4 linked regions of the Arabidopsis thaliana genome follow. The protein of the gene in region 2 interacts with the protein of the main gene of each other region in a pairwise test. Each region holds a gene or a part of one and is shown on either strand. Other genes may lie near its edges.

Evidence for each region.
Region 1: the proteins of AHBP-1B (region 2) and ROXY2 interact in a two-hybrid assay, tested with the Arabidopsis thaliana proteins (3 studies listed by BioGRID).
Region 3: the proteins of AHBP-1B (region 2) and SCL21 interact in binary tests that used the Arabidopsis thaliana proteins (3 or more experiments, as listed by UniProt).
Region 4: the proteins of AHBP-1B (region 2) and AT2G47880 interact in a two-hybrid assay, tested with the Arabidopsis thaliana proteins (2 studies listed by BioGRID).

The regions. Positions count from the first base shown.
Region 1 is NC_003076.8:4,538,525-4,545,428, reverse strand, and holds ROXY2 (Thioredoxin superfamily protein), read right to left. Parts: upstream 3,650-6,904; 5' UTR 3,515-3,649; coding exon 3,092-3,514; 3' UTR 2,844-3,091; downstream 1-2,843. Other genes in the region: AT5G14080 (Tetratricopeptide repeat (TPR)-like superfamily protein), read left to right, coding at 173-1,826, 1,914-2,164; CARAB-AK-LYS (Aspartate kinase family protein), read right to left, coding at 6,436-6,522, 6,620-6,682, 6,765-6,881.
Region 2 is NC_003076.8:2,147,689-2,157,675, forward strand, and holds AHBP-1B (bZIP transcription factor family protein), read left to right. Parts: upstream 1-3,151; 5' UTR 3,152-3,443; exon of another isoform or gene 3,444-3,447; intron 3,448-3,620; exon of another isoform or gene 3,621-4,109; intron 4,110-4,372; 5' UTR 4,373-4,434; exon of another isoform or gene 4,435-4,438; intron 4,439-4,526; 5' UTR 4,527-4,634; coding exon 4,635-4,700; intron 4,701-4,799; coding exon 4,800-4,871; intron 4,872-4,959; coding exon 4,960-5,019; intron 5,020-5,140; coding exon 5,141-5,218; intron 5,219-5,295; coding exon 5,296-5,347; intron 5,348-5,634; coding exon 5,635-5,906; intron 5,907-5,999; coding exon 6,000-6,245; intron 6,246-6,339; coding exon 6,340-6,486; 3' UTR 6,487-6,898; downstream 6,899-9,987. Other genes in the region: AT5G06930 (nucleolar-like protein), read left to right, coding at 1-161; AT5G06940 (Leucine-rich repeat receptor-like protein kinase family protein), read right to left, coding at 390-736, 812-3,083; OBF5 (OCS-element binding factor 5), read left to right, coding at 8,054-8,119, 8,202-8,273, 8,365-8,424, 8,525-8,602, 8,678-8,729, 8,885-9,156, 9,236-9,481, 9,566-9,712.
Region 3 is NC_003071.7:1,717,538-1,725,774, reverse strand, and holds SCL21 (SCARECROW-like 21), read left to right. Parts: upstream 1-3,170; 5' UTR 3,171-3,184; coding exon of another isoform or gene 3,185-3,275; 5' UTR 3,276-3,494; intron 3,495-3,875; 5' UTR 3,876-3,958; coding exon 3,959-5,200; 3' UTR 5,201-5,414; downstream 5,415-8,237. Other genes in the region: AT2G04910 (Carbohydrate-binding X8 domain superfamily protein), read left to right, coding at 1,421-1,795; AT2G04900 (uncharacterized protein), read right to left, coding at 2,169-2,268, 2,742-2,785, 2,870-2,950, 3,035-3,105, 3,185-3,275; ZAP1 (zinc-dependent activator protein-1), read right to left, coding at 5,556-6,039, 6,136-6,291, 6,395-7,218. UniProt on the Arabidopsis thaliana protein: Probable transcription factor involved in plant development.
Region 4 is NC_003071.7:19,602,207-19,608,880, forward strand, and holds AT2G47880 (Glutaredoxin family protein), read left to right. Parts: upstream 1-2,823; 5' UTR 2,824-2,917; coding exon 2,918-3,226; 3' UTR 3,227-3,498; downstream 3,499-6,674. Other genes in the region: AT2G47870 (Thioredoxin superfamily protein), read left to right, coding at 1,133-1,444; AT2G47885 (uncharacterized protein), read right to left, coding at 3,025-3,162; AT2G47890 (B-box type zinc finger protein with CCT domain-containing protein), read left to right, coding at 6,039-6,509, 6,588-6,674. UniProt on the Arabidopsis thaliana protein: Has a glutathione-disulfide oxidoreductase activity in the presence of NADPH and glutathione reductase. Reduces low molecular weight disulfides and proteins.

The sequences.
Region 1 (6,904 bases), 2.4 Mb from region 2:
AATGGGCAAGTAATAAGGATTAATCTCGTATGCAAAGTTTTGGGTCACTAAAAATCACTTTTTGGACTGGGCCAGTATGAGTTTGACTTCTAACTAATGGACTCATTAACCAAATTCGATTTCTCCAACTTGTCAGCGACTCCCTGAAAATGTTGACGTCAGCTTCTCGGCCATGAGACCTGCGACGGAGCTTGCGGTGAGGATCGGCCGAGAGCTGCTAAAAGTTTCCGGAAGCTCTCGAGCTGCTCGGATATGGAGTCCATTGATTGAACAGAGTCTTCACGGTCTCGGTTTTCGTCACTCAATAAGCCCTTCGCTTGTGGCTCGAGTCATAGACCCGTTTCTGCTGAATCATCATTCTCTTGCTCTCGGTTTCTTCAATTGGGCTGCTCAGCAACCAGGTTACTCTCACGACTCCATATCTTACCACTCTATCTTCAAGTCTCTTTCGCTTTCTCGTCAGTTCTCCGCCATGGACGCTCTTTTCAAACAGGTTAAATCGAACAAAATCCTTCTCGATTCTTCCGTGTATCGCTCCCTCATTGATACGCTTGTGCTGGGTAGGAAAGCTCAGAGTGCGTTTTGGGTTTTAGAAGAAGCTTTTTCAACGGGTCAGGAGATTCATCCCGATGTATGCAATCGTCTTTTAGCTGGTTTAACTTCTGATGGATGTTATGATTATGCACAGAAACTGTTTGTTAAAATGCGTCATAAAGGTGTTTCGTTGAACACTCTTGGATTCGGTGTCTATATAGGATGGTTCTGTAGAAGTTCTGAAACGAATCAGCTCTTGAGATTGGTGGATGAGGTTAAAAAGGCTAATTTGAATATCAATGGCTCAATCATTGCACTGTTGATTCTCCATAGTCTTTGTAAGTGTTCACGAGAAATGGATGCTTTTTATATATTGGAAGAGCTAAGGAACATAGATTGCAAACCGGATTTTATGGCTTATAGGGTCATAGCTGAAGCGTTTGTAGTTACTGGGAATCTGTATGAGAGACAGGTTGTTTTAAAGAAGAAGAGAAAGCTCGGAGTAGCACCTAGGAGCAGCGATTACCGAGCTTTTATTCTGGATTTGATTTCAGCTAAGCGATTAACGGAGGCTAAGGAAGTGGCTGAGGTGATTGTGAGTGGAAAATTCCCTATGGATAATGATATCTTAGACGCGTTGATTGGATCTGTCTCTGCAGTTGATCCAGATTCTGCTGTTGAATTCTTAGTTTACATGGTCAGCACAGGGAAATTGCCTGCTATTCGGACTCTGAGCAAGTTAAGTAAGAATCTTTGCAGGCATGACAAGAGTGATCATCTGATAAAGGCTTATGAGCTTTTGTCAAGCAAAGGTTATTTCTCAGAACTTCAGAGTTACAGTCTGATGATATCGTTCTTGTGCAAGGCTGGGAGAGTCAGAGAAAGTTACACTGCTCTGCAAGAAATGAAGAAGGAAGGGCTTGCTCCAGACGTTTCACTCTATAACGCTCTCATTGAAGCTTGTTGCAAAGCGGAAATGATCCGTCCAGCAAAGAAACTGTGGGATGAGATGTTTGTGGAGGGCTGCAAAATGAATCTGACGACATATAATGTACTTATTAGGAAATTATCAGAGGAAGGCGAGGCAGAGGAGTCTTTAAGGCTGTTTGACAAGATGCTTGAGAGAGGGATAGAACCAGATGAAACAATCTATATGTCACTCATTGAAGGCCTATGCAAGGAGACAAAAATTGAAGCTGCTATGGAAGTTTTCAGAAAGTGCATGGAGAGGGATCATAAAACAGTTACAAGAAGAGTATTAAGCGAGTTTGTCTTAAATCTATGCAGCAACGGTGAGAGAGAACAAATATGTCTTCTAGTCTTTTCCAATTGCCTCATGTCAAGATATTTATTGATTCGTTTGGTGTGTATGTGTGAAGGCCATTCTGGTGAGGCATCGCAGCTGCTGCGCGAGAGAGAACACTTAGAACACACAGGAGCACATGTCGTGTTGCTGAAATGTGTGGCGGATGCGAAAGAGGTTGAGATTGGAATTAGACATATGCAATGGATCAAAGAGGTATCGCCATCTCTTGTTCACACAATATCTTCTGACCTGTTGGCGTCTTTCTGTTCATCATCTGATCCTGATTCCATTCTTCCATTTATTCGAGCAATTGAGAACACATAATTACACCAATAGGCAATTAGATTAGATTCCCCAAATTGTATTTCCCTTTATTCTGTGTAGATTCCTATACTGCTGTAATCAAGATCTCTGGGTGACTTACACGTTACGAGTCGTTTATTGTCTACGTAAGAATTATTCTAATGAGTATAACTTATCTCAAGGTATATATGCTATTTAGTTCCTTCTTTTACTCATCATGGTAATTGATGAGCCCTTTAAAGTTGTAATGGAAGTGAAATGTTTAAAAACCTTCCAAACTCAGATAATGTGACCTTGTAATTGTAGTTTTCTTACAACTTTGAGAAGAAGAAAAAACAAAGAAAAGGTGACATGTGATTGTATGAAATATGAATGACTGAAGAAGTGTTCTCTAATTTGTTTTTTAAAAGCAAAAATGAATTAGGAAGGAATTGATAGCTGTAAAATCAGTGACGTTATTGGATGATCATGTACGGGCTCTTCTTGACGCAACGGTCGGGTCAAAATCACGGATTATTGTTAGTGGGTCTCCACGTAATCTGGAGTGGGGACCCCTCATGAGGTGATTATTTCCCCCACAAGTTAACAGTTATAACGGTTAAGATTTTAGGTCATGAAAATAACCTCCTCGTTCTTGTCTTAGTTTGACCTTTAATTTTATTTTATTTTCATGGCAAATTTTTATTTGTGAAAAATGACCATTAAATTTTGCAAATCAACTGTCAAATTGTAAAATTAGAGATAAGAAAGCTAACAAGAGACATAGCGATTAGTTAACATTTATATATTAGTGTGATTTAAGATAGACAAAGAGCTAAGCTTAAAACAAACGCATCACTCTTCTCTCTCACTGTCTCTAATTCAACACTGGGATTAACCTATTTCTTCTGTCCTTAAAAACCAAAGATAAACCAAAGGTTGATATTTGGAGGATGAGATTAGCACTCATCAGAGCCAAAGAGCGCCAGCATCTTTGAGAAGAGGGACGAGTGAGCCATTGATATGTGAAGCCATCACTCTCTCCATTGCTCCTACCATCTTCCCTCCGATGAACACCACCGGAAGTGCCCCCGGAGATGTGGCGCCACCGCTGGAACAGCCAAGGAGACGGAGGAGAGCTCGGTGGATTTCAACTCCGTAAGGGAGGAGGTCGAGCTCGTGGACGGCGGGGCTGACGCCCATTCCACGGAAGAGACGCTTGATGGCATGGCACATGCAGCAAGTGCTCACGCTGAATATAACCACCGCATTCTCTGCCGCCATCGACTCTATCTTCGCCAGTGTCTCCGACGGAAACACATTCATGTTGTTCATCACCTTACTGTTGTTGTTGTAGGACAACGACCCTCGAGTTTCTGTTTTGTATTGCATCTTTTTTTGTATTCTTAGAGAAAAAGAGAAAGAGAATAAGAGAGTGAGAGAGCGAGAGAATTTGTGTGAGAGTTGGTTGGGGAGAGAGTGAGAGGCATGCAGAGTATTTATACATGGTGAAGTTCTAAATTTAACTGGTAGGTTTTAATTTATTTTAAAATGGCATATTATTAGAGAGGATATGCCAAATGATAACAAAGTTATTGATGTGATAGTCATGGACCATCATGGTTGCTAGCTTTTGTTATGATAGGATGATATTTTTAAGAGACATTTGAGTCCCATTTAAGTATAATTATTTATTTTTTCAAGATTTTACAACCATATAAAAGTAGAATATTATTCAGTTAAATAGGTTAGTAGAATAAGGGAATTGTTGGTAATGGATATATCTATCCTTCTTGTCGGCTTTTTCTGTAATATCTTCTTACACATTTACACTAGCTAGCTAGTTTTTGTCTGCGAAATTGGTCCAATATTATCAAATACAAATGGTCCAATATATGCATATATATAAATACAAATGGTCCAATATTCATGTGTATATATATATATTGTATATAGAGACGCGCCGAATAATAAATTTGATGCTGCCAACATTATGTGAGCAAGTCGTAACGCAGAGATGAGGTCGAATGTTTGGATATATGGCCGGTGGTTTTCCATTATATTCCGTATTCACTTTATGCTCTCAAATCCTCTCTAATCAATCTCTATAAACAAGCTACATATAATACCATTATCAATATGATCGCAAAAGGAGTGGAATATATATTTTGGATTGTGTAATCCAATTAGCATCTCACAAATGTAGCGCTAAACATATATACAAGTTGGAATATCTTTTGGTGATCAAGATCGAATTTCGTAACCATTTTATTATTCTTAGCCCCTAATGGGATATAGAAAATTGGCTAGTTAATGTTATATAAAAAGAAATAAAGGAGTCATCAATATTCTTGAGAATGAACTTTTAAAAGAGATTGTAGTTGCCAACAGTGTTTAGTTGCTTACCATCAGAATGTCAGTGTTCTTGATGTATGGAAATTACAAGTTGGCATGTGTTCTTGGTTTGCTACCATCTTTTTCTTTATATATGATTATTAAATGTTGTGAATTCAGTTAGACAAAAATGTATAGTTCCATATATATATAGTTTGGATTTGTAGATAATTTTACCAAAAGGCTGAGAAAAAAGGTTGAATTTTACAAAGTTGGTCACATGCTTTTTTGGCTTTCATGCATGCTTCTGCCTTCCTTTTGTTATCTGCAAAATTTGCCTTCTTGTTTCTCATGTTTGACCAACCCCTTCCATAAAAAGGAAAAATGCTAAAATAAAAACATTTATCGTTGTCAGCACAAACAACTTGTTATGAAATTTGTAGGTACCCAATCTGCAATATAGAGTCACCTCTCATCGATTGATTATATATGAATAATATCCCTAAATTATTCATATTCTATACATCGATCTATTTGAGAACATTTCTGTTACTTTTTAAGAAAATAAAAGAAAGCTTAAGATATGGGTATATATAGTTTAAGTGAGTCCGAAGAGTTAAATGTCCCTTCATTGGTTTAAGATTTGGTGTATAAACTAATTAAAGCTGATTTATATGATTTGGAGGACTAAATCTTTGTTCTTAAGATGATGATAAAATAACAATCTTTGAGGGATTGCGTTTGTCGGACCACTTTATCATATATTATATGGAAAAAATTGGAAGGCCGTTACAGAAGCCTTACGTAACAGATTTCATCAGATGTGTATTTCTCGTTGACCGGCTGGTCGGTCGGATATGACCCTGGTCAAGTAACTGTTGCTTATGCTTTTCAGGAAGGGTATTTTCGGTATCATTTAAAGTGTTTCTTTACTTTCTAAGGGCATCTTCAAGGCTCAACACCATTTTGGTGTTCAAATTACATCATTTTTAGCACTAAAACTTGTGTTTTTTCCGACCATAACACCAAAAATCATACTAAAAAAAATATATACTATTATATTATCTATTTAAAAGATTTCTTTTATTATTTAATAGTTTTGATTAGTATTTATTACTAGTATAGAATTACATAACATTATAAACATAGTATATTGAAATATATATTTAAAAATACATAAAATTGTAACTATTTTGAGTATTTTCATACATAATAATATAAAAATATCATAACTAAATAAACTATTTCAAGAGATATAATATATTAATGTATCCATTCATTTTTATATTTTATATCTATTAATCATTTGTAATTTTATATTTGTTAATTGAATTTTTATTGATATAATAAGTGAATAGTGTTTAGAGTTGTGAATAGTATCACACCAAATTTGATGTAACACTGTAGCATTACACTAAAATGGTGTGAATTTTAGAGTTCCATTGGAGAGCTTTTAGTGCAAAAATTACACTAAAATGGTGTTTTAGAGTCCCATTGGAGTTGGCCTAAGCCTGCTCCTTCAATGCTCACTTTCTCTTCTATACTGAATTTGTTTTTCTTTTTCTTTTTTCTTCTTTTGTTGACAAGAAGAAATTATGAAAATATACTGATGTCAAAATGAAGAAACTAATTTATATCTTAATTCTTGTGAACAAAATAGTATAATTACCATTGACTAATAATTGTAAACCTTATGTCATAAAACCAAATCTTAAATCCTAAAAACTAAGCTTTAAATCTGAATCCCTACTCAACACACTGGTTATTTCTTTATTTCTTTTTGAGCTTGTCTATGTACTCTTTAAATTAAAAGATTATAGGCTTTGGCTCAAATTATGATGTATTGTATCACAACAACAACAACAACAACAACAACAATGGACAAGAATTTGAAATAGTTCCAAGTCTTGACACATTCTTAGCATTAAACTACGCACAGAAGCAGAGTTGAAGGAGAGAGATGGGTGCTCTGTGTTGCACTAAGGATCGGTCTCAAAGAAGGCGGAGTGGAGAGCCCTCACACATTGCTCTGCCTCTTCATCATTCACTATCAATGAGATGTTTACCTGAAACACACACACACACACACACATATCCCCATTCACTATAACCATAAGTAAACCATATTCATTCACTATCATGTAGCAGCGGATTCCATCTAACCTTAGATGCACCCTGCGAGATCATCTGCACATTCACTCCATTGCTTCTAAATACTTGGAACACCTGTTTTGTCATTCATTCCATTCCCACTAAATTAAAACTTCAAAATTCAAAAGAGAACACAAGACATGTTACTCTCACTCACCTTCTCTAATATGAGTGAGGATTTCTGAACATTTCCTATGAGAGAGATGATTGATCTGCGTTGAAGTAGTTTCACAACAGCAATCTTCTCTAGCTCTTCCACCAAATTATCCAGTTCCTGTTCACACCCAGTCCCTTTAA
Region 2 (9,987 bases):
TTAAGCTTTCTATGACACACAAAAATGGATACAGCAGCAACGAGAAGGTAGAAACACCAAGATCTCCTCCATACTACAACGTCATCAAAGGGGCTGTAGCGAAGGATAACCTCAATCTTTCTGAGACTAATGAAAGATACAGACTCCTTGGAGAAGCCTAAACCTGGCTTAAATTACCAGAAAGTGCCTGCGGAAATTCCAAACTTATCGGGAAGTACATTAAAAGTCCAATTCTTATTATCCTTGAAGATCAAATGACCAATGTACATTACTACATACTCTAATGTTACACAAACAAAACATACCATCTTGCTCTTGGACCATTTCCATAAAAGCTTGATTTTTGAGTTCAAACCAGTGCTAAGAAACGGTCTCTCTTGGTTTATTGTTTATGCGGAAACTGGTGAGACAGAAGAACTAATACCCTCAAGCAGTTTAATAACTTTAACCAGTGAAGGTCGTTTCTCTGCAGCAACGGCGGTGCAATCTAGAGCAATGTCTAAGGTCTTTCGCATGTCTGATTGGCAAGAATCGGACAAGATCTTTTGGTCAAGAACTTGTGCAGCTCCATCTGTCAGGTTTATCTTCCTCCTGACCTGCTTCACTATGTCAAGGGACTCCCCAGAAGAGCCTTCTTCTGCTTTCTCTGCGCTTTGTCCCGTTACAAGTTCTAGTAATACAACACCAAAACTGTAAACATCCATATCTTCTGTTGCTTTCTTGCTGTAATGGTTTTCTGAATCACATCAAGGAAAAAAATTTCACTAAAGGTTTGCATGTACAGAAAAACTCAGTCGTCCTAGATATTTACCTGGTGCAGTATAGCAGGAGTTGGTGTTTGCATGTACCAGAGACTGAAAAGCAGTTTCTCCAACGATATGGTCAAGAGCAAAATCAGAGAGCTTGGGTTCGAAATCTTTGTCCAAGAAAATGTTTGCTGATTTTAGGTTCCTATGGAGTAAGTGTGGCACATAGTCTTTGCTAATGTAAGCCAATGCTTGAGCAACACCTAGTGCTATCTTCAACCTAATACTCCACGGCAGTTGGTCGCCAGCTCTCGATAGCATATCATGTAAGCTACCATTTTGTGTGAATTCATAGATCAAGAAGATCATCTCGTCTTTGAAGCAAAACCCAAGAATTCGAGTAATGTTCTTATGCCGTATCTTTGCTATGGTTCTCACTTGAGCTTTCAGAGATTTCGAGGATATATTCTTAGAATTCACAAGCTTCTTCACAGCTAATAACTCCCCACTAGATAAACTGAGAACGTATACTTCACTTCCGGAAGGACAACTTTCATTCACCACTTTCATCAACTCATGCTCAGTTAACTTGAAGGGATAATAAAACTCCGAGCGCCAAGTACTCTTGAATTGCACTTTCTTTCGAGAATAACGATATAACACCGCAAGGAAAGTGGCAATAGCAAGTGCTAAACATATCAAAGATAACACCAACGCTTTACCACCTTTTTTATGGAAGTTAGACCGATCAGAGGAGCAAGAATTGGGTAAACCGGGTCCACAAAGCTCAGGATTTCCTTGCAGAAAGGAAGCTGGTAACCCGGAGACCAGAGAGTGAGGTACCTCACCTGATAATCCATTGAATGACACGTTAAAAAGAGCAAGCTTTAGGTTCTGTAAGCCTTGAGGGATCAAACCAGTAAGACTATTATCAGATAGATCAAGATAGGTCAGAACATGTAAATCAGCAAGTGATGGCGGGATTTCTCCGGTGAATGCATTGCCTGCTAGAGACAAAGAGACAAGCTTCTTGCAGTTTTTCAGTTCTGGGATCTTTCCTAAGAGCCTATTGTGAGAGATGTTTACAATACTAAGGACAGGTGAGTCGCAAAAATTCGGCGGTAACTCTCCACTAAACCGGTTTTGTGAAGCAGAAAACTTATACAAGCTCTTAACCAATCCAAGACCATGTGGGATTTCACCAGAAAAGGAATTGTTGACTATCTCAACTTGCTCCAATGCAGAAGCCAAAGACACAGACTCTGGCACTTGACCTGTGAACCGATTATTATCCGCTCTAATAATCTTAATCCTGGGTAATTTCCACAACACAACTGGAAACTCACCAGAAAATCCATTGTTCTGCACTTGAAGCCTCTCCAGACTAAGGCATTCACCAATGGAGTTAGGCAATGACCCTTCAAAGAAATTCGAGTGGAGAGAAAGGTTAATAAGCCTTTTACCACTGCAAATGCCACTAGGGAAAGAGCCAGATAACTTATTCTGTGAGACATCAAGAGACACTAAGTTCTTGAGAGAAGGGCCTAATGATCGAGGAATCTCACCACTCAGGTTGTTCAAACTCAGATCCAAGGTTCTCAAACTTGTCAAACCAACAAACGAAGTAGGAATCTCTCCATGGAACCCTGACCTATGCAACAGAAGCTGTTCAAGCTTGTCTAGCTTCCCAAGAAAAGAAGGAATCTCACTAACCAAATAGCTGTTTTCAGACAAATCAAGAACAACAAGCTCACTTAGCTTCCCAATAGCAGGAGGGACGATACCAGTGAGCAAATTACTTCCCAAGTTGAGAACTTGGAGATTAAACAATAACCCTAAATCTTCTGGAATCATACCTTCGACATGGTTACTGCTAAAGTCAATAACTTTCAAGGAACTAAACTCAGAAATCTGATCAGGGATTGTGCCCCAGATGAGATTAGAGCTGAGATTAAGAGTCTCTAAAGTAACACAACGAGACAACTGAAGTGGGATAGGCTGATTGAAGAAGTTCAAGGAGAGGTCAAGGTGAGTGAGGTAAGGGAGGTCACAAATGGAGTCAGAGATTTCACCAGAAAGATTCAAACTTTGAAGGTTAATGGAAGAGACGTAAAGAGTAGGAGCTCTAGTACATGTGATACCAGTCCAGTTACAATGGTGCGAAGAAGAAGTGTTAAACCAACCTGAAAGAGAGCCTTTTGGATCATCAAAGGAGGCTTTGAATCTGAGAAGGTTACCAAGTTCCTCGTTCTCTGTGAAAGAGAAGGTCTTGGTGAAGAAGAAGAAGAATGTCAAGGCTAGTGAGATTGAAAACTGGTGCTTGAATCTGGTAGCCATTAATGAGTTAAGAATAGAGAATGAAGAGGATCTGCTGAATGAGTGAAGTAGTGAGAGAGTGAGAGTGAGAGTGAGAGTGAGAGTGAGAGTGAATTGAATTTCAGGTGTTGAAAATACGGGGTGGGTTTTGCAATTATAAGATAGTAGGGTTGGTTAATGGTAAAAATAAAGAGTATAGGGTTTAGTTTGAAATTTCCCGTTAAATTTTGGTCGAGGGTCTATGGGGAACTGGTAGATTTGTAGACAAAACGACGTCTCGGAGATTGGAATTTCGGATCGTGTCTCTCTCTGTTTCTTTGTTTCAATCCGATTTCGAATCAAGCCCTTTACTTGTGCACCTTCAAGATTTCGTTTTTCCAGGTCAGTTTCTTCATCAAGCCAACCTTTTTTTCTAGGGTTTTTCTTCCTTTGTTTTTTTTCTGGGAGTTTTCTCCTTCACAGTCCTAAGAAGCTACTTGTTAACTCTGTCTTTTTGCTTTTGAAGTTAAACCTAGTTGACTTTCTCAAGCTTAAAGAGTTCAGCTTTTTTTTTTTTTTAATTGGTGATTTTGTTCTTAATTTTGAGCTACCAAAATCATCGAATTAAATGTTAATCTCTTGAATTCTGTTTCGGTGGTAGTTTCTTGGTTTGAAATCATAGCTGCAGCTTCATGCCGAATTCTCACTGGTTCTAGATTTAGAGTTTAGCTTTTTTTTTTTACTTTACTCGGATATGAATACTGAGTAAGGAATTGAGTCAACTCGGATGTGAATACTGAATAGTTTTTGTTCTAGCTAGAGTTGCAAAACTAAGAGATTCAGCTACTGAAGCTACTTTAGTGTCATTCAAACTGAATTGAAATGATGTGTGTGAGTGTGACTGTACCTAATTTTTCAAACTCAGGCATTTTCGACTGTGCCAACACCTTAAGTCTCACTGATTTTGACTTTGATCCGCGAGCTAAGCTTAAGGTCTGAATGAGTTTCTCAGACTTTGTAGATTGTGCAAGCTACATGTCTGATTGGGTTTGATGAATTGCTTTAAAGGTTGTGTTTTTGATGGGCTATTTTTGTCAGTCTGTTAGCTACAAACAGATTGTTCTTATATATTTGACTTTGTGACTTATGGTAGTCAGCAGAATTTCCCTTAGGACACTTTGAATAAGTAAAGGACTCTTTAGCATTCTTTAGCTGGCTTGTTTAACTGAAACAAACTAGAGAACCTTTTTCTTGACTTTATAGGACATAATTGAAAACTATGTTAGCAAAAGAGATGGTATGTAATGCTGTTTTTTTTTGTGCTCATTCAGCGCAGCCAATGCTCCGGGTGACCAACATTTGTTCCTGATTCATTTCCTATTGATTCGTATTGGTAGGTGTTGATCTTTCTTTTATATTCTATCACCTAATTTTGTTCTTTCTGTCTTTTTTTCTTTTTCTTAATTTCCTTCCGAATCCTGGCAGTCTGTGCACACAAGAGAAATTTCAAGAAGTTGTTACTAAAAGAGAGGCCACAAGTGGATATTGTCTTTGTTATCAAGTGTTAGTACAGAAAAGTGGTGAGAAAGTAATATGGCTGATACCAGTCCGAGAACTGATGTCTCAACAGATGACGACACAGATCATCCTGATCTTGGGGTTAGCTCATAATCTGGCTAGATTTTATCACTTATATTCTTCAAAATAGTGTGATTTTTTATGGACCAAACAAAAATTCTGGTGTTAATTTTAATGCAGTCGGAGGGAGCACTAGTGAATACTGCTGCTTCTGATTCGAGTGACCGATCGAAGGGAAAGATGGATCAAAAGGTGACATGTCCATCTCTGTAGATAAGATCACTGTTTTTATTCAGCCAATTTATAATCTCTTTTTGTTTCCTTATATTTTGATCCATAGACTCTTCGTAGGCTTGCTCAAAACCGTGAGGCAGCAAGGAAAAGCAGATTGAGGAAGAAGGTATATTACCTTCCATTGGTTTTATCTTTTTTTACTTTTTCTTTTCTTTTTAAATTGGTGCATCGCTAGAAGCATAGCTATTTGGTACTACGTTAATTCCTTTTAATTGCTCCCTCCATAGGCTTATGTTCAGCAGCTAGAGAACAGCCGCTTGAAACTAACCCAGCTTGAGCAGGAGCTGCAAAGAGCAAGACAGCAGGTTCAAATTTGTTTCTTATTTCTATTGATTTTTATTTTGTTATTCTGTATACCTAACGGTAAATTTCTTGTTTCTAGGGCGTCTTCATTTCAGGCACAGGAGACCAGGCCCATTCTACTGGTGGAAATGGTTGGTTGCTTATTCTCCATTAGTTTTAATTATGTTTATTTTTTGGCTTCTAATTTGTGTATAAGTTAAGTTCATATATCAACTTCCTGTTGACTTGGTGTAGACTGATCAATTAGTACATCATATCTCATCCCATTACAATACACTGGGTTATCAGAGTCAGTGGCAGACTGACATGGTTCTGATAGCAAAAACTGTTATTCTAATTAGCACTGGTGTAGATTTAGATTTACAAGATGACGAATCTCATGGGTTTGTTTTGATCATGTATAAATTTTTTAATTCAGGTGCTTTGGCGTTTGATGCTGAACATTCACGGTGGTTGGAAGAAAAGAACAAGCAAATGAACGAGCTGAGGTCTGCTCTGAATGCGCATGCAGGTGATTCTGAGCTTCGAATAATAGTCGATGGTGTGATGGCTCACTATGAGGAGCTTTTCAGGATAAAGAGCAATGCAGCTAAGAATGATGTCTTTCACTTGCTATCTGGCATGTGGAAAACACCAGCTGAGAGATGTTTCTTGTGGCTCGGTGGATTTCGTTCATCCGAACTTCTAAAGGTGAGGTCAAATTTCACTTTGTCTTCACCGATTGCATCTGTTTCTACATAGAACATAAAAAGAATGGTCATAGGGAAAAATGTGTTGAAACAGCTTCTGGCGAATCAGTTGGAGCCAATGACAGAGAGACAGTTGATGGGCATAAATAACCTGCAACAGACATCGCAGCAGGCTGAAGATGCTTTGTCTCAAGGGATGGAGAGCTTACAACAGTCACTAGCTGATACTTTATCGAGCGGGACTCTTGGTTCAAGTTCATCAGGGAATGTCGCAAGCTACATGGGTCAGATGGCCATGGCAATGGGAAAGTTAGGTACACTCGAAGGATTTATCCGCCAGGTACAACACTTGTGATGTTTTGAGATGATATCTTAGTTAAGAGTATATATATATATCAATAGGTTAATAATCGTCTCTTGGTTGGTGGTGGCAGGCTGATAATTTGAGACTACAAACATTGCAACAGATGATAAGAGTATTAACAACGAGACAGTCAGCACGTGCTCTACTTGCAATACACGATTACTTCTCACGGCTACGAGCTCTAAGCTCCTTATGGCTTGCTCGACCCAGAGAGTGAAACTGTATTTTGGTCACATGTCAGCTGTACAAAATCCATATGGACACAAAACCAGGAGAGACTATTAATCAACACTTGTCAGATTCTTCTTACCAAATCCATCAACAAATAAGCAAATTTCTGGGAAACAAAAGACTCTTTGTATGTAGGTTTCTTCTACATGGTTGTGGTAATTCATGTTGTTTTAGTTGTAGTCATCAGTTTTTAATTTAGCATTTGAAAAGTTCAATGTTGTTTATATAGCATCTTCGATTATCTTAGAAAGGTTATTGAATTTTGTTTTTTTTTGTTACTTTTGTGTGTGGTAAAGGTGTTTTAACCTTGCAACTTCTGTACTGTAATCATTTAACAATATTAAGATGTTCTATTTGAGTTTTGTAGTTTCATCGCTTGTGTCTTAAATCTTATTTAGTGAGGATTCTAATGTAAACTTCCAAGAGATGATGAAAATGAATTTACATTCAAAGTAAGTGTGATAGATTTTTTTGTAATAAAAAAAGGGACATGTCATTGTCAAAACCAAGAATTATTTTGTTTTTAGAAAAAAGAGAGTGTTGCAATTTTCAGAGGACTTTTTAACCCTCAGCATCTAGAGGTCCACCATCACTTGAGTTTCGTCTTCCATTCCTGTTTTTTTTCAGAGACCGGCAAAATAAAAAAAAAGAAGATCGTACAACTAAAAATACCTCAAAGAAGGAAGATACAAAAGTAGTAACCTTTGTTGGTGATTGATACTATATCTGTTGTGGGTTTTAGACAAAGACCACGTCTTTGCAGTTGTAGATTGGAATTTTCCGGATCTTTCTCTAAATCGCTTTTTCTCCGAGCAACTTTTGTTTGGGGTTAAGCTCAAAGAATCCGTTCTTTTCAGGTGAGTCTCTTCTTCAATAGTCTTAGGGGTTTTAGTTCTTCAGTTTTCTTATTCTGCCTCTGCTTTCATGATTGTTTTTTTCCATTGAAGATTTTGACCTTTGAGGGAATTTTTTCCTTTTTGCTTTATGTACGTGTTAAGGATCCAAAATCATTATTTCGGACACTATTTAAACGAATTGGTTGAGATTTGATGTTATGAAGCTTGAATTTTGTGTCTTTTACTCTGTTTCCGGGGCTAGTTTGCTAAATTCTGAATCTTTTAGCTCTACTTCAGTCTAATGTTCAGATTAGTTACTGTTTCACCTCACGGAGAGCTTTACGCTATAGAAGTCCGTTGGTTCTCATTTCAAATCATATAGGCGTGCTTATTGTTTACTTTGATTCTCTGGCTTTGAATACTCAAAGTTCTTGAGGTCATTGGTTGCTTCACAGCTATGTGTTAAGTTTAGTGGTTTGGATCTTTATGTTAGTGTGACATAAATAGGGTGATGTATCGTATCATTGTTTCCACTTTCTTGATTCTACTTAATGCGTTGGTTTTTGGCTTAAAAATATGTTTTCTTTCTCTATAACTCTAATCTTTTGTTTATGTTTACCATCTTACTTTTGACAGTCTTTACTCCATCTAGGGTACCACGATTGGATCGGTTTTTATCTGATGATTTAGTAACAGAGATTTTGAAGAAAAAGAAAAATGGGAGATACTAGTCCAAGAACATCAGTCTCAACAGATGGAGACACTGATCATAATAACCTAATGGTTAGCTTGTAAAATTTCTAGGTCTTGCTTCTTTATGTTCATTAAATGGCCAAAGTTTTGAAATAAAACAGTATTTATGCAGTTCGATGAAGGGCATTTGGGTATCGGTGCTTCTGATTCTAGTGACCGTTCAAAGAGTAAAATGGATCAAAAGGTGAATATAAACATCTCTATTTTGCAAGAGTTTGGTTTTTGTCATTGAGCCTTTCAGTTATGTTTTTCTTGTTTGTTGTTGTAATCAACAGACGCTTCGTAGGCTCGCTCAAAACCGTGAGGCTGCAAGGAAAAGCAGATTGAGGAAGAAAGTATGCTTAGATTTATGTTCATAGTTTCAATTCTTTTATGTTTTTTACAAGCATAGCTATTTGCAAACTCTAAGATGTTTGTTGGTTACTGCACTTTTAGGCATATGTTCAGCAGCTAGAGAACAGTCGATTGAAGCTAACACAACTTGAGCAGGAGCTACAAAGAGCACGGCAACAGGTTTTAACTTTGTTCAGCTATATTTGTGTAGATATTTGCTCTGTTGCATACATAACATTTTTCTCTTAATCTTAGGGTGTCTTTATCTCAAGCTCTGGAGACCAAGCCCATTCTACCGCTGGAGATGGTGAGTTAGCTGAATCATAATTCATAACCATTTATTGATGATGTGGTTGAAAATTTTAGTTTTGTTGGTTATAAAGTAGAGCAAGCACTAGTTTGGTTGATGGTGTTGATCACTTTCTTGTGAGATAATTTTTTATGAATGCTTCTCTTTTACAGGGGCAATGGCATTTGATGTAGAATACAGACGATGGCAGGAAGATAAAAACAGACAGATGAAGGAGCTGAGTTCTGCTATAGATTCTCACGCGACTGATTCTGAGCTTCGGATAATTGTAGATGGAGTAATAGCTCACTATGAGGAGCTTTACAGGATAAAAGGCAACGCAGCTAAGAGTGATGTCTTCCATTTATTATCAGGGATGTGGAAAACCCCAGCTGAGAGATGTTTCTTGTGGCTCGGCGGTTTCCGTTCATCAGAACTTCTCAAGGTAAAAAACACACGACCAGGTTCGGTTTATTTGGTCTCTTCACTAGCAAGTTTCCAAACTTTTTACTTCTCTACTACAGCTTATAGCGAGTCAGTTGGAGCCCTTGACAGAACAACAATCGCTAGACATAAATAACTTGCAACAGTCTTCTCAGCAAGCAGAAGATGCTTTGTCTCAAGGGATGGACAACTTACAGCAATCACTCGCTGATACTTTATCGAGTGGGACTCTCGGTTCAAGTTCATCAGGGAATGTAGCTAGCTACATGGGTCAGATGGCCATGGCGATGGGGAAGTTAGGTACCCTTGAAGGATTTATCCGCCAGGTACGTTACAATTTTGTTGTTTAACATCAAATGAAAAAAGTATTTTGCAGTCAGTTGATAGAACCATCTTATTGTTTGTGGCAGGCTGATAACTTAAGGCTACAAACATATCAACAGATGGTGAGACTATTAACAACCCGACAATCGGCTCGTGCTCTCCTTGCAGTACACAATTATACATTGCGGTTACGTGCTCTTAGCTCTCTATGGCTTGCCAGACCAAGAGAGTGAACCATGACTCTATTATACTTCAACGAAGGTCCAGAAAATTTGAGATTCTTAGCATAAGATTTGACGACTTTAGACACGTAGCTCGTATACAAGATTATGATTATACTGTTTTGTGTTGTAATGTTTGTGTGTAATGAATGTATCTTGAAATCATAAAAGTCCCGTAACATTTGAAAAGCATTAGGATACTAAAGAGAAGCAGTGACTTTGGTTTTGTACAATATCATTACAAATTATAAACACAGTCATTCAGTTTCTAAGCGAATGTAAATGAG
Region 3 (8,237 bases), on a different chromosome or scaffold from region 2:
AATTAAATGAGGCAAATTTAATAATTAGTTTTTAACATATTCACATAAAAATTGTTGCATTAAATAATAAATGTACATCAATTACAAAATTGTGTATTAATTCGTTTTTTTTTTAATTTAATATTAAATTATATTTAAAGAAAAACTAACATTTTTACAACTAGTAGTGCATCAAATGTTTGATTAACTTTGAAGCTAAAATTTTAAAGAATTTCGAGAACTATAAAATACTCAACTTCGCATCATTGTTGAGAAGATGAAAATTTTCTTGACAAGGATACGCAGATAAAAGTATTATTGCATAGACGCAGTTTCACAAATGTCTATGAATCTTCTTTTCATAATAGAAGTGGAGAACCAACAATGGTGATAGCCTATAAAAAGGCACCTGGTGATGTGTTACAAACAACCATATACTAGGCTTGTCAAGCCAGTGGAGCAGACTGCAATAAGATTAAAGCCTAACCAACCTTAGCTTGTTTCAAGGCCAGCAGGCCAACACTATCAAGGACCATGCCTTCGTTGTCTTCAATAATTATTACCAGCGTTATAAGCACAATGGAGGTTCTAGTTACTTTAATGGCGCATCACCGATTTTTTAAAAACATTTATCTATTTATGACTAAGAGGTTCCGAGCTAAGCACATACATTCTCACAAGCTGGGAACCAAAACATTTTATTTGGTCTGCACATTCATCCTCTTAGGCGGGAACCAAACCATTTTAATTTATATGGTTCTCTCCCGAGTGCCACTCAAAAATGATCATGGATTGCGACCCTAGTATGCAATTCTGGCTAAATCCTTTGGTTTTAGGAGGCTTAAAGTTCTGCTTCCAATATTGTTGTGTTTCAAAGTTGGTGGTGCAATAAATTTCACCTACATATCTTGTTTTACTCATTTGTTATTTTTGGTGCACATGCAATAAAGATTAGATGTTTCACTTTTCTCTTCTTCTCCAGCTAATGAAACAGATATTATATTCAAATGTAGAACTTCAATAAGATATATGGTATTAAAATTACATCAATTTGGTAATTGACATTATCCATTCTGAAACAAAATAAGCTATATATGATAAGCTTGACCACATTCCATATAACATAACTCATATATATTTGAATCAAATTCATAGTCAACAAAATTTGGCAGTTGATATGACTTACACCTAAATATAAGATCTTACATAATTCATTCTTTATTTTGTTGGTCAGAGTATAATCCATTCTAAACACAGAATACTAACACTATAAAATACTCGAGTTATAACCATCTTTAAGCTCTCAAACAGTTCAACTTGCCTCTTGTAAAAGATGAAAACTTTTTGTTTAGGGATAGCAATTGCTCTACTTTTCATAACAGTAACGTTTTCAGGTACAATATTATTGTAACATACACATAATCTCAAAGATCTCTATAACATGGGGTATCTTATTTTTGTAGCGAAAGCGGAGTTCGGACAATGGTGTGTAGCCGATGGACAGATACCAGATAATGTGATACAAGCAGCCGTAGACTGGGCTTGTCAAACAGGTGGAGCAGACTGCAGTACGATTCAGCCTAACCAGCCTTGCTTCTTGCCCAACACTGTCAAGGACCATGCCTCTGTTGTCTTCAATAACTATTACCAGCGTTATAAGCGCAACGGCGGTTCCTGTAACTTCAACAGCACTGCATTTATCACACAAACCGACCCTAGTAAGCAACTTTATCTAAACCCTTTTTGTTACAGTTATTTAAGCTCTTTGATCAATCAAAATCTTGAACCATCTGTTTCTGATTATCTCATGATTTGATAGGTCACGATTCGTGCCATTTTGAGTATGTGCCATTTTGAGTATGTCCAATGATTCAAAGGAAAGACCAAGATGAAATGAAAGATGATGAATTATACTACCGGTGAACAATATAAACAAATCTTTGTTGGAACTTGGAAGTTCTTGTAATGTAGAATTTTGATAAATTGTATGGTAATAAGATTACATTAATATGGTCGTCATTTACATAATCCCTTTAGCAACAAACTGAACAAGTAAAGGAAGATGCTTAATGGTTGTCGACACAGAATTGTTATTAAGCAATCTCTTAGGTAAACAAAAAAAAACAGTGAGTTCATATGTAGGATAAGCTTGACCACAAACTTGACAATATAGATGGTTATGAGATTGTTTAGAAAAGTAAAGTTGCCCATGCAGCAATGAACGCAAAGCCTCCGAATGGTGCCAATGTCGAAAACTTTCTGTCCTCCCGCAGCGCTACCATATAACACCTGCAACAACATTTCAACACACATGAAACTTCTCACATACTCATACCCGGAAATAGACTATTGAACACAAAACTAAAGTTATCTACTAAGCATCTAAAATATAGTTACTTCTCCAAAGAGCATACCTTCACATATCAAAGGAAGTACAAAGGGGACAAATACCATTCATTAACTCAAATACAAAGACCTATGCTATTAAATAAGTGATACAATGGTTTCCAAATGCTTCAGAGTTGGACACATGTCGAAATCGATAAAATCTCCCTAGCCACGAAGAATTGTGGCAAGTATTGCTACTGCTAGAGATTAGATATGAATTCTAGAAAGTCCAAATCATATCTAAATAGCTCAAATATCCATGAATGCACTACTATAACCTCAATGACAAGACATCCAACAAACATCTAGCACAAAAGCTCTACCATACACATCTCAAACTGAAGAATCTGAGAAACAAAAAGATAACAACTTACGTGCCGGAAAAGGCTACAATTCCAGCAGTCAACAAGCCACCAAACTAAGCAAGAAAAAGATATGTCAGCTCCATCAACTCTCAAAGGACAAAGATTAGAGAAACAGAGTACAAGAAGAGAAAGCTAACAATGTTGGGATATTTGGTGCTAGGAGCAGAAACAAGAGCAGCAGTGTGAACCAAATGGTAAAGTGAAGCCGTTTGCCACACCTGAACAACAACAAAAAAACCTAAACTTTCTCACAGAAATCCAACAAAGTATCGAATTTTCCAACAATTTTCAAGAATCTAAACCTGTTTGTAAGAAGGGTTCTCTGGTTTAAAGACATGAGCACCATAAGTTCCCAAACCAAGAGCAGCCATACCTAAACCAATTCTATCCGAATCAGTACCTTTCCTCACAAGATCAAAATCAAAAGATCATTACTTTATCTTAAATCTCACCGGAAATAGCGGCGACTTTGTGCCACATCCGAGGATCCATCGATCGTCGTCCTCTGATGTCTCTTAGATTGCTTCTTACACTATTTCCCATTTGACCAGAGACTTTAAGCGAGATGTGTCAAGTCGGTGATCGGGTCTTATTCGGTTTAAGCCTAAAACGACGTCGTATGTGATGTGTTATTTTCTTCACTACAGCAACTAAAAAGATTCTTCCTTTTGCTTCAGCTGCGAGCTTTGGTTGGATCTCTCACTTGCAAAACCAAATCCCTTATCGACTTCCACCGAAAGATCACTTCTTAACCTACACAAGGTTTGTTTTTCTCATAAAAATCAAACCTTTATTCTCTTTTCTTGATGATTTTGATGCTCTGCTTCTTCTTATCCACAAAACATGAAAACATTTCTTCTTTGATAAGTTTGATGTTGGTTTGTTGTAAATGATTGCTCTTTCTAGCAAGCTTTACTCTAAAGTGTGAAGAGAAATTGTCAAATTAGTTTGTTTAGGATTGGAACTCTTGTATGCCTTGTTTATTGATGAAGTAGTTCATGGCTGACGTAGATTCATAGAGTCATGAGTTGATTTCAATGATACTAGAGTTCTTGTTAGAGTTTTGATCTCCATGGATATTATTGTTCAATATTGATATCTAATTCAGTCTCTGATTAATGACTTTGTCTATGAATTCTACAGGTGTTTGTTATGAAGATCAGATAAATAAAAGGTCATTTGAGGATAATGGTTGATGTTCAAAGATTCTTACTTGCTTATTTGTGATGGACAATGTAAGAGGTTCAATAATGTTGCAGCCACTGCCAGAGATAGCTGAGAGTATCGATGATGCTATCTGCCATGAACTCTCCATGTGGCCTGATGATGCTAAAGATTTGTTATTGATAGTGGAGGCAATATCAAGGGGAGACTTGAAGTTGGTACTTGTTGCTTGTGCAAAAGCTGTTTCTGAGAATAATCTTCTAATGGCACGATGGTGTATGGGTGAGTTGCGCGGTATGGTTTCGATTTCTGGTGAGCCAATCCAGAGATTGGGAGCTTATATGTTAGAAGGGCTTGTTGCTAGGCTTGCTGCTTCTGGTAGTTCGATATATAAGTCTCTCCAGTCCAGAGAACCAGAGAGTTATGAATTTTTATCTTATGTGTATGTTCTGCATGAGGTTTGTCCATATTTCAAGTTTGGATACATGTCAGCGAATGGTGCGATTGCAGAAGCAATGAAGGATGAAGAGAGGATTCACATTATTGACTTCCAAATTGGACAAGGGAGCCAGTGGATAGCACTTATCCAGGCTTTTGCAGCTAGGCCTGGTGGGGCTCCAAATATTCGAATTACCGGAGTTGGTGATGGATCTGTCTTGGTTACAGTCAAGAAGAGACTAGAGAAACTTGCAAAGAAGTTTGATGTTCCATTCAGGTTCAATGCGGTTTCAAGGCCAAGTTGTGAAGTTGAAGTGGAAAATCTTGATGTCCGAGATGGCGAAGCCCTTGGAGTGAACTTTGCTTACATGCTGCATCATTTGCCAGATGAGAGTGTAAGCATGGAAAACCACAGGGACCGGTTGCTGAGGATGGTGAAGAGTCTATCACCTAAAGTAGTCACTCTTGTGGAACAAGAATGCAACACGAACACTTCCCCTTTCCTTCCTAGGTTCCTTGAGACATTAAGTTATTACACGGCAATGTTCGAATCTATCGATGTTATGCTTCCGAGAAATCACAAGGAAAGGATCAATATCGAGCAGCACTGCATGGCAAGGGATGTCGTCAACATCATAGCTTGTGAAGGAGCCGAGAGGATCGAAAGACACGAGCTTCTCGGGAAATGGAAGTCAAGGTTTTCCATGGCGGGTTTTGAGCCATACCCCTTGAGCTCAATCATTTCAGCCACCATTAGAGCCCTCTTGAGAGATTACAGCAACGGGTATGCGATTGAAGAAAGAGATGGTGCTCTGTACCTTGGTTGGATGGACCGAATCTTGGTCTCATCTTGTGCATGGAAGTGAAAGAATAAACGTCTCCAAGAATGTAATGCAAAAGACAGAACTGGAAGTAATAGATAGTTTTGTCTCATAACCATTAATAAGGTTGAATCAAATCATATACATCCCCATGCTACAACTATTACACAGGCTCCATCAACAAAGAAGGGCTCTTGTTGTGTTACCTTCTCTTCCTGTAACTCTTATTTGAACCAAATGGAAGTGGTTACATAAAGGTATTAAAGCATACTATTCCATTAAACACTAATCTAAATCTGGTCCCGCCTGAACAACAACTGTACAGTCTATAACCATATCGCCTGTACTAATCTATGTTAAAACAGCCATATAAATTACCACTCGGTACAACACTGAATGCTTAGCTTTGGGCAGGCTCTGTCTTGGGTTTTTGTTCCTCGCTCTCCAGGGTTCCTACTGCCTTCTCTTGACAAACAGTGGTTTTATCATCTGACTTTGCTTCCGGCTTGGCGTGATTGGCTGCGTGATCTTTGTTTGCATCTGATCTCTCTTTTATTTCCTCCTTCAGCTTCTCATCCAAAACTGGACCTTGATCAAGACTTTTCTCAAAGCCATTAGTCTTCGTTTTCTTTCTTAAGTGATCTTCGACATGCTGGTCTTTTGTAATGGATTGAAGAGTTGAGCTCTGTGGAGTCTTGTTGGCATCTCCTTCTTTATCATCAACTTCCGAGTCCAGCATGTTATTATGAGTAACAACTCTTCCTGGAGGCATATCGTGGTCGTGTTTTCCCTCGTAAGTTGTTATAAGCAACTTTGTGTCATGAGATGACCTCTCTACGTGTTTCTTGACGGGGCATCCAGGGCTTGAACATCTATAGTAGCTCCTAATACATAAAACATCAAATGGAGAAAGAACGTGAGCAGCGAAGAATGAAACCAAAAGTTTGACATTATATTTCAAACATGTAAGCAGTCACTACCTTGGATATGGGCTGCCTTTTACTGATTTCTGACCATATTTACGCCATCGGTACCCATCATTCACAATATCAAACAGAGTCTGAGTGTGAACCACAATGCGTGAATCATTGGTTGACCTCTCCACTGGACTCAGCTCAATGTTCCCTCCTTTCTTCCTGATTTAGTGACATCAACATAAGAAGAAAAAACAAGGAACACCAATGGTGAAGTCTTCCTCCAGAACCATGAAAAACAAACCGACATATCAATCATCAATACCTTCGCTTTGCGGTAGGACTATTATAATCCTTGTGAGTGTTGTCCCCCGTTATCCTACTTGATTGTGAAATATCAGTTTTCACATCATCAGCTGGTGGAATAACTGAAACATGTAATCCTCCATGGATCTTTGGTGGTTCGGTTTGACGAAGTGTCTGAACACTGGATCCAGATGTTTTCTCTACAAACATGATATCATAAGAAACAATGCACAGCTTATAAATTAGAGAAACTATATCTATTCTTTGTTCACCTTTACTAACAGCTGTGAAGACATCACTTCGCTTATCCTGATTGATAGGAACAGCACCAGCAAGAGGCTTTGGGTGATCATGTTCCCCAAAGTAAACGGTATCCACGACTTGTCCACCCGCAGACCGTTCCAACTGTTTTTTCGCTTTGCAGTTAGGGTGAGTGCACCTGTAATAGCTCCTTACAAACTCATTTCCTTTCACAAGTTTCTGTCCATATTTCCGCCAGTTGTATCCGTCTTCCATAACCTTCTCACGAATAAAAGGACTATTCCCTTCCGAACCAGACTGCAAAGATAATGCACCGCTACTTTCAGAAACCTTCGGTGCTTTCTCGGATACCGGGGAAGCAACATCTACTTCCGACTGCGAAGCTACCGTATGTGGAACAAGTTTTTCAAGCTCCTTACAGTCAGTAGATTCCAAACTTTCAACAACGGTTTCAGTTCTAGTTACAGCCACTGGTATGACCTCCGCTTTATCAGTAGTGGCAACAACATCATCCACTGCTTTAGTCTCATTTGAATGGTCTAACTCCATATCACTAGCCAGAACTTTTCCCACCTCAGCCATAAATACTAACAAACTCAAGTAAACTCAAAACCGGAGAGACTCGAGCTTAACCCCAAATATATCTAATTCCCAAAGCCTGAAGGAGAAATCAAAACAAACAAAAACCAAATCATTACAGTGAATTCACACTAAATTCCACAGAAACAACAATTAGGAATAAAATGTTGCAGAATAACCACTAAAAGTCTCCACTTTTGGGAAATTTCTATATCAATTACAATCTTAGTAAAGACTCAAAATTGATTAGTCCTATGCTTCACCAACGATCTTTAGACTCAAGTACTTTACTTTGAAACAAACAAAACCCCAAAATTAAAGCATTTGCTAAAATCTTATAACCAAATTACATAAAAAGTCGGCAAATTTGTTCCATTTACTACGGAGTTAAGAGACGACCCAGTAACAAGATTCGCATAAAGATTCAACATTTAATACTAAATTAAAGAATTTAATACAACTTCAAAAACAAAATAAAATAAAGAATTTACCTAGCACAGACATCGAGAAGATCATCATCCGACCAAATAAGATAATCCCAAAAAACCGAAGCTGCTTATGTTCTTGTAAGAATCTCGTAGATCGAAATCGAACAATCTCAAATTGGGTTTAAGAGAGAGAGAAAAGAGAAGAAGAACAAAAGGTCATGTCGAAGAATCAGATGGTTGGACTTAGAAATGACTATGGAGAAAGAAGAAGAAGAAGAAAGTGGGGAAGAGAGGTTTTGTTTCAGTGTTACGCGGTGTATTGAAAGATATGTAGACGTCGTTGATCTAACGGTTAGATGATACGTTTCTCATGACATATATTCTCCACCCACAAAACGCAAGCCGACAAAAGCAGAAGCAGTGGGACCCAGAGAACCCAGTGCATAATAATCTCGTGTGTCTCATTAGTATTGTTGTTTCTTGGTTACAAAGTGTGAGTAATATCAAACTTTGGGGATCGATTTTGCAAATACATGTAAATTACTTAACTACGAGGAAGAAAACAAAAGTATTGATTCTTACACAAGTGGATGT
Region 4 (6,674 bases), on a different chromosome or scaffold from region 2:
CCAAGTGTGTAAAGCTTGTCTTGTATATACTGTTCGTTGATGATGATATATTGATATGGATCAAGAAGACCCTTAACGGAAAACATTTTGTTCTAGTTTTGTTTCCAGCTCAATGGGGCAAGAATTAAGTCTTGATCCCTTTGTCACTTTTCTAGGCCTTTTCTAGTAGGCCTATATATTATATCTCATTGCGCTCAACGGCCCACTACAAATCTTCCGGAGTATATTAGACGTGAAAAAAACTGTGAGATTTTTTTTACTCACGGGCCTAATCTTTGCTTTATAGGTACAGAGAATTTGCACTATGTCAAGTGTCAACGCCTTGTGATGACAGGAAAAAAAAAAACAGAATATAATCTACGACCTACATAGAAGAACTATGGACGTCGAGATTTGAACTAAAAGAATCTAATTAACATGACTGGTCCTTGCGTTTGCCACGTCGTTGGATCCCCTCGACAAGGTAATATATCTACCTTACCTGTGAGATATTTTGTAAGGGAATATATACATTAATGACAAATATCTTGAAAAAAGAGAGGATGAAATCAAGTCTTGGTTTGGAATTTGGGTTGGTGATTCCACAACTCAATTGCTGTGACCACACTAGAAAAGTATTTTGGCTCCCTCTCTAACAGGTTGGCCAAAACGTACCTAGATGTAATGAAAATAACTATATAATTACTACTTTATTAATCTGTAACAAAAACAAAAAGCCTATGTTTTTTTTTTATTAGATGACATTTTTAAACACCACACCAGTCAACACCAGATTTTTGCTTTTGACCTTTGTATATTATTATCATTTTAAATTATACGTTTGAATAACTAACTTACAAAAAAAAAAACAATAAATTTCAGCTTTTTGTCCATAAATTTATTCCAAAGAAAAACTACTATATATTGTGATGTATAAACAAATGTCAAGGGTATGTGATGCTGCTGCCTGTCGCAGACCGAAAGCGACACAACTTACCTTTTTTGATAACATACCAAACTATATAATTGATCGCGTTCATTTTCCGAAAATATATGCCGAATGCGGCGGGGCTATAAATAATAGTTTGATCGATCGGCTTGTTTATCATCCATACTCAAGGCCTCGAATTAACACTTCTTTGTCACATCGTCGATGGAACGAGTAAGAGATTTGGCATCGGAGAAGGCGGCTGTGATATTCACGAAGAGCTCGTGTTGCATGTGTCATAGCATCAAGACTCTCTTCTACGAACTCGGGGCGAGTCCTGCCATCCATGAGCTTGACAAGGACCCGCAAGGCCCTGACATGGAACGGGCCCTCTTCCGGGTATTCGGGTCTAACCCTGCTGTCCCTGCGGTTTTCGTAGGAGGAAGGTACGTCGGCTCAGCTAAAGACGTCATCTCCTTCCACGTGGATGGCTCCCTCAAGCAGATGTTAAAGGCCTCTAACGCCATATGGTTGTGACTACATATCATCACGCTTCTTACTATCATTTATTCTACACACACTAGTTCATATTATGTCATCTCGTGAATAATACATACATATATTTATCTAAGCTTGCATGAATATTGAATTATACTTTTAGTAACCATATATATAGAAGATTATGCATGCTCCGATGCTCGTGGAGATTAATTATCAGTTGATACGGAGAAACTAGACTGTAATCAATCATCACGTAAAGATTTCTGTTAATATCGGAATATCATCTGGATTTAGCATAATATCTTCCGATTATAGAAAAAAATGTACGTAGTATAATACCTAACCGATATACAAATGAATATCGAACGTAACTATGCTATAACTAGTATATATATGATCGTTTTTGAATCAAACATAAAAGAGAATCTCGCTCATGAAAAGATTACTACACCCACAAAACAATCGAAAAGTAAGCCAAGAATGACGCAGCAGAGTTAACATATGCGTGTGATTCACGCGTGCGTCCGGCAAGAAAGACATTTCGAGAGAAGTGAATCAAACATTAGTGTAAGTGTGAAAGAAGAATATATAAAAAAGAAAGATGGAATAATTTTCTTTGGCAAGTTGGTGTTGGCGGAATCACCATGTACGATGCATATTGTTGATACATATATATACATGTTTATCACCGAAAGGTCCAATCTTTTTCATTTATCCTCACTTTGCGCAATGACTCAATCAAAGGAGATATGTTGAGAGAATCCGTTAGATTATAAATTGACAAGCCTCTTTTCTTTTTCTAGGGGTATTAATCATGCTATATTTCTTGTCACATTGATTTGAATATCAGCAGTTTAAGAAAATCGCTTAGCCAAAAGTTATTAAGAAATCGTCTGATTTCTATCATTGTTGTAATCAATTTGATAAGCTAGCTTCAACTTTCATATCTATGTTAGTGTTTCAAAATTACTATCATATGCATTCCGTTCATACTTATTTCATCAATTAGTCCATGCATGCATGTGCTTATTATTTAGATTAATTATATTTATGTCACTGGCAATGCGTATACTATTATTAACCCACAAAAAGGTGAAACTGATTACAATTTTTCGAATCGTATTCGTAAATTACTAATCAACATGTTATGACGATCAAAACAACTGCAGCGTTACCGTAGAAATAAAAATAAATTGAATAACTTAGAAGTGAGAGTAATGTTTGCAACTTGTGCAGTCAAACAGAATATAAATAAGAAGAAAAATTCTCAAATAGGCATCTGATATTTTATCTTTCCTTTTTGATATTTTCTTAGAAATAAACTACATTTTAAATGGTCTTTTCTTTCTAATTAGCAAGAAAAAAACACACTCGAAAGACTCACTCCCTTCCTATAAATAGGCGAGCAAATGTCAAGCTTTTTACATACTCAAAACAAAACAAAACATACATCAAAACGCTAAAGTTTAAACCCCTAGCCATCATCAGATCTTCAGACTTCTGAGGATCATGGACAAAGTGATGAGAATGTCTTCAGAGAAAGGAGTGGTGATCTTCACGAAGAGCTCATGTTGTCTCTGCTACGCCGTTCAAATCCTGTTCCGTGACCTTAGGGTTCAACCAACCATCCACGAGATCGACAACGACCCGGACTGCCGTGAGATCGAGAAGGCTCTTCTCCGGCTCGGCTGTTCCACGGCGGTTCCAGCTGTCTTTGTCGGAGGCAAGCTTGTTGGCTCCACCAATGAAGTCATGTCCCTTCACCTTAGTGGCTCTCTTGTCCCATTGATCAAACCCTATCAGTCCATCCTTTACTAGCAAAATTAAACCAACTCAATATATAATATCTAATTATTAGCTAGTGAGAATAAACACAGTTACAGCTAGAGTGTGAGCTAGCTAGATATTCAGTGAGGACTTCGTCTGAATTAATGTTTATCGTTTGTATGTTCTATTGTTTAGCTTCTCTCGTGTTTCAGTTTAGTTAATCAACTGGTGTATGTTGATGTATGACTCTCTGTTTATGCTAATGAAAATAGTATTGAAACTTTTACATTTTTTCCCACACAATTAGTAACGATCTCTTGTGTATGTTGAGTAATTTAGGGCTTTCCATATAATAAGGCAAGAAACCGTTTATACTTGTCTGTTTTTAACATGGTATCAGAAGGAGGCTACACACAAACCATTTTCTTATTTAGAAATATTCACATACACTGACAGTAGCTAGAATAAAAATGTGAATGGCCAACACATGCATGAACTCGTCTTCTAATTATCAAGATGTAATGTATAAGTTGGCTTCATCATTATTAGTTAGACCTATTGATAGTTAACATTATATCGGGCGATATACAGATTTAGCCTTTGTGATGTTGTGTTTAGAGCGTACTTTTGAATCAAGGATAAATCAGTGCCCATTAGAGTATATATAAATCGAATGTGAAAAATATTAGATCAGAATAGACTTAATTAGTCTCCACCATACAAATTTGGTAAGAAGAAAAACAATGATAAGATACCAGTGGCCTAATGCAACTAAAGCAGTTTGAGGAAGAGGATGGAAGATCTTTCGCGGTCCAAGTATATCATGGCTACACAAAATCACTGCTCTTTTTGCGTTCCTTTATTCTTGAGTATCTTCACGTTTAATTTACTATTATTTTCTAATGAAAAATTGTACACCTTTTTATATATATGAACTCTTTGTTTTTTCGTTAGTTGCTCGTGTAGTAAATTAAACATATATGCTCATAATCAATAAAAACATACAATGTTAGAAGAAAAAAATACAATTTTTTTTACTAACGAATCATATGAATAGTTGTTTTATATACGGTACATTAACGATCCTCTCATCAGCTTTATAGATAACGAAGCATATTATTCTCCTTAGTTCCGCTTTTTATCACTTGAGATTAAACTCTACTCACAGGTTTAAGCACGTAAATTAGTTACTAAATAATGGATTTGACATTTACGCTTTGCATGCTTATATATGTTACCCATAATTATTTCCCTTTAGTTACTTAAAGTTACCAAAATCAACTACTTCAAGATTCTCCAATCAAAAGAAGCGTGTAAAAGCCTCTATAGTTATATAGTAGTATATAGACCTTGAAGATTTCTTTTTGAAGAAAATATGATTATACTGAGTTCAAAAGGTCGAAAAGAAATAATAAAGGTAGAATCCCTTTACATGATGTGTGGAACAACTTTTCTTGACCTCCAACTTCTTGGGATCGTGGGAAATATATAGGAGAATCTAATCGGAAGTTGTACAGAACGTGTAAGAACTAAGAACCATATTCACTTTGTTGTCATTGTTATAAGATTCAAGATTCTTTGACCGGCGCGTGAAAAAAGCATCCACCTATAGGCTCAAGATTCGTGTCCAAGAAAATATCGAGAACCGATGATTACTTGGAAAGTGGACCATTTTTTAAAAAATCAAAAATTAAAAAAGGAACGTAGCTCATGCGAATAGTTTAGTCCACCAAAGTGAAATGGTAGAACATTTGGTTTCAGTTTAGTTGTGTGTATTTTTATTAAAGGCTTCAGAATCAATTTCGATTTTTGAAAAATGAGTTTTTATAGCCATGTTAGTATGTTACGAGGATGGAAAAGCAACCTAGCTAGATTATCTTGTGATATGTGTTATTGTTCAAGAGAAGTAGGGGCAGTAGTTGTCGAGATCATGTTATTAGTGTCGCTGGAATGTTAGATATTGCCCATCCTGTCTCTTTTTCCCCATCGTGCCCTAAAAGTCAAACTATGCATGGTATTAGCTAATCTTGAATAGGTTTAATTCAGTACGGAAACTCTAATTGAAAACTACCTTCATGGAGTAATAGTTATCGAGGAACGATGATGAGGTATTAGTGGAGATAAGCAGATTTGGACTCAATATCAAAAATTAATGGTGGGATCCATTTCCGTTTCACCTAATATACATAGTGGCAAACAAAAAACAAATATAAGAAGAAAAGATTCAGTATCGAGCATTCTAGCTATGTCGGTAACGTGACAAAGTCCTTTTTTTCGTTTGTCTGTTTCTTTAAAGTTAATCAAATCGGCCAACGCTGCCTCAACAACGAGCTTCCTTTTTCTAACGTCCCTAATTTGCCACGTCCATTTTCTGGACTAGTCCCGGTTTAAAAAATCTTCAGAGATGTATTCGTGGTCAACTTCATTAACTCTTTCTCTTGAGCCCTTCATTAGTTATGATCTTATTTACTTTTTAAAAATCTAACCAAGTACTGTATATTATATATGTGGTAGCCAAAATATTATGTTAAATTCTAGGCTAATCCGATATATCAAGAAAAATCAATATATAAAAATGGAGAGCTATTTTTCACGAGTTAAGTGAGAGAGATGAGTAAAGAAAGGCACGGGAAGGTGAAGAGAGTGTAGGTTTCCAGCTTCTTCCCCAAGAAATAAAATGTATTTGACTTTGTCTAAGCAAATATGTCGTCACTTTAACGTCATTCATTACCTAGAATGCAATTAAGATATGGCTTTTACATAAGCCACCAAATTTGGTTTTGTTGCCCCAAAATATCCCAAGAAAAGATCAACTTCTTCTTCTTACCAAAACTGTCGGCGTCGTCTCCTCTAAGCTCCTCCCATGGAAGCAGAAGAAGGTCATCAGCGTGACCGCCTCTGCGACTATTGCGACTCCTCCGTGGCTCTTGTCTACTGCAAAGCTGACTCCGCCAAGCTCTGCCTCGCCTGCGACAAGCAAGTCCACGTCGCCAACCAACTCTTCGCCAAACACTTCAGGTCACTTCTCTGCGACTCCTGCAACGAATCTCCCTCTTCCCTTTTCTGCGAGACTGAAAGGTCTGTTCTTTGCCAGAACTGCGACTGGCAACACCACACCGCCTCTTCCTCCCTTCATAGCCGCAGACCCTTTGAAGGATTTACCGGCTGTCCCTCCGTGCCTGAGTTGCTGGCCATCGTTGGCCTCGATGACCTCACTCTCGATTCCGGATTGCTTTGGGAGTCACCTGAGATCGTTAGCCTCAACGACCTTATTGTTTCGGGCGGGTCGGGTACTCATAACTTCCGGGCCACGGATGTTCCTCCTCTGCCTAAGGTATAACTTGCTCTGTTTTTTTTCTCGAGCCAATTGCTCGGTTTTTATATTTCTCTGAAATGTTTTGAAATGCTCCAGAATCGTCACGCCACCTGCGGGAAATACAAAGATGAGATGATCCGACAGCTCCGTGGACTATCCAGATCTGAGCCTGGTTGTCTGAAA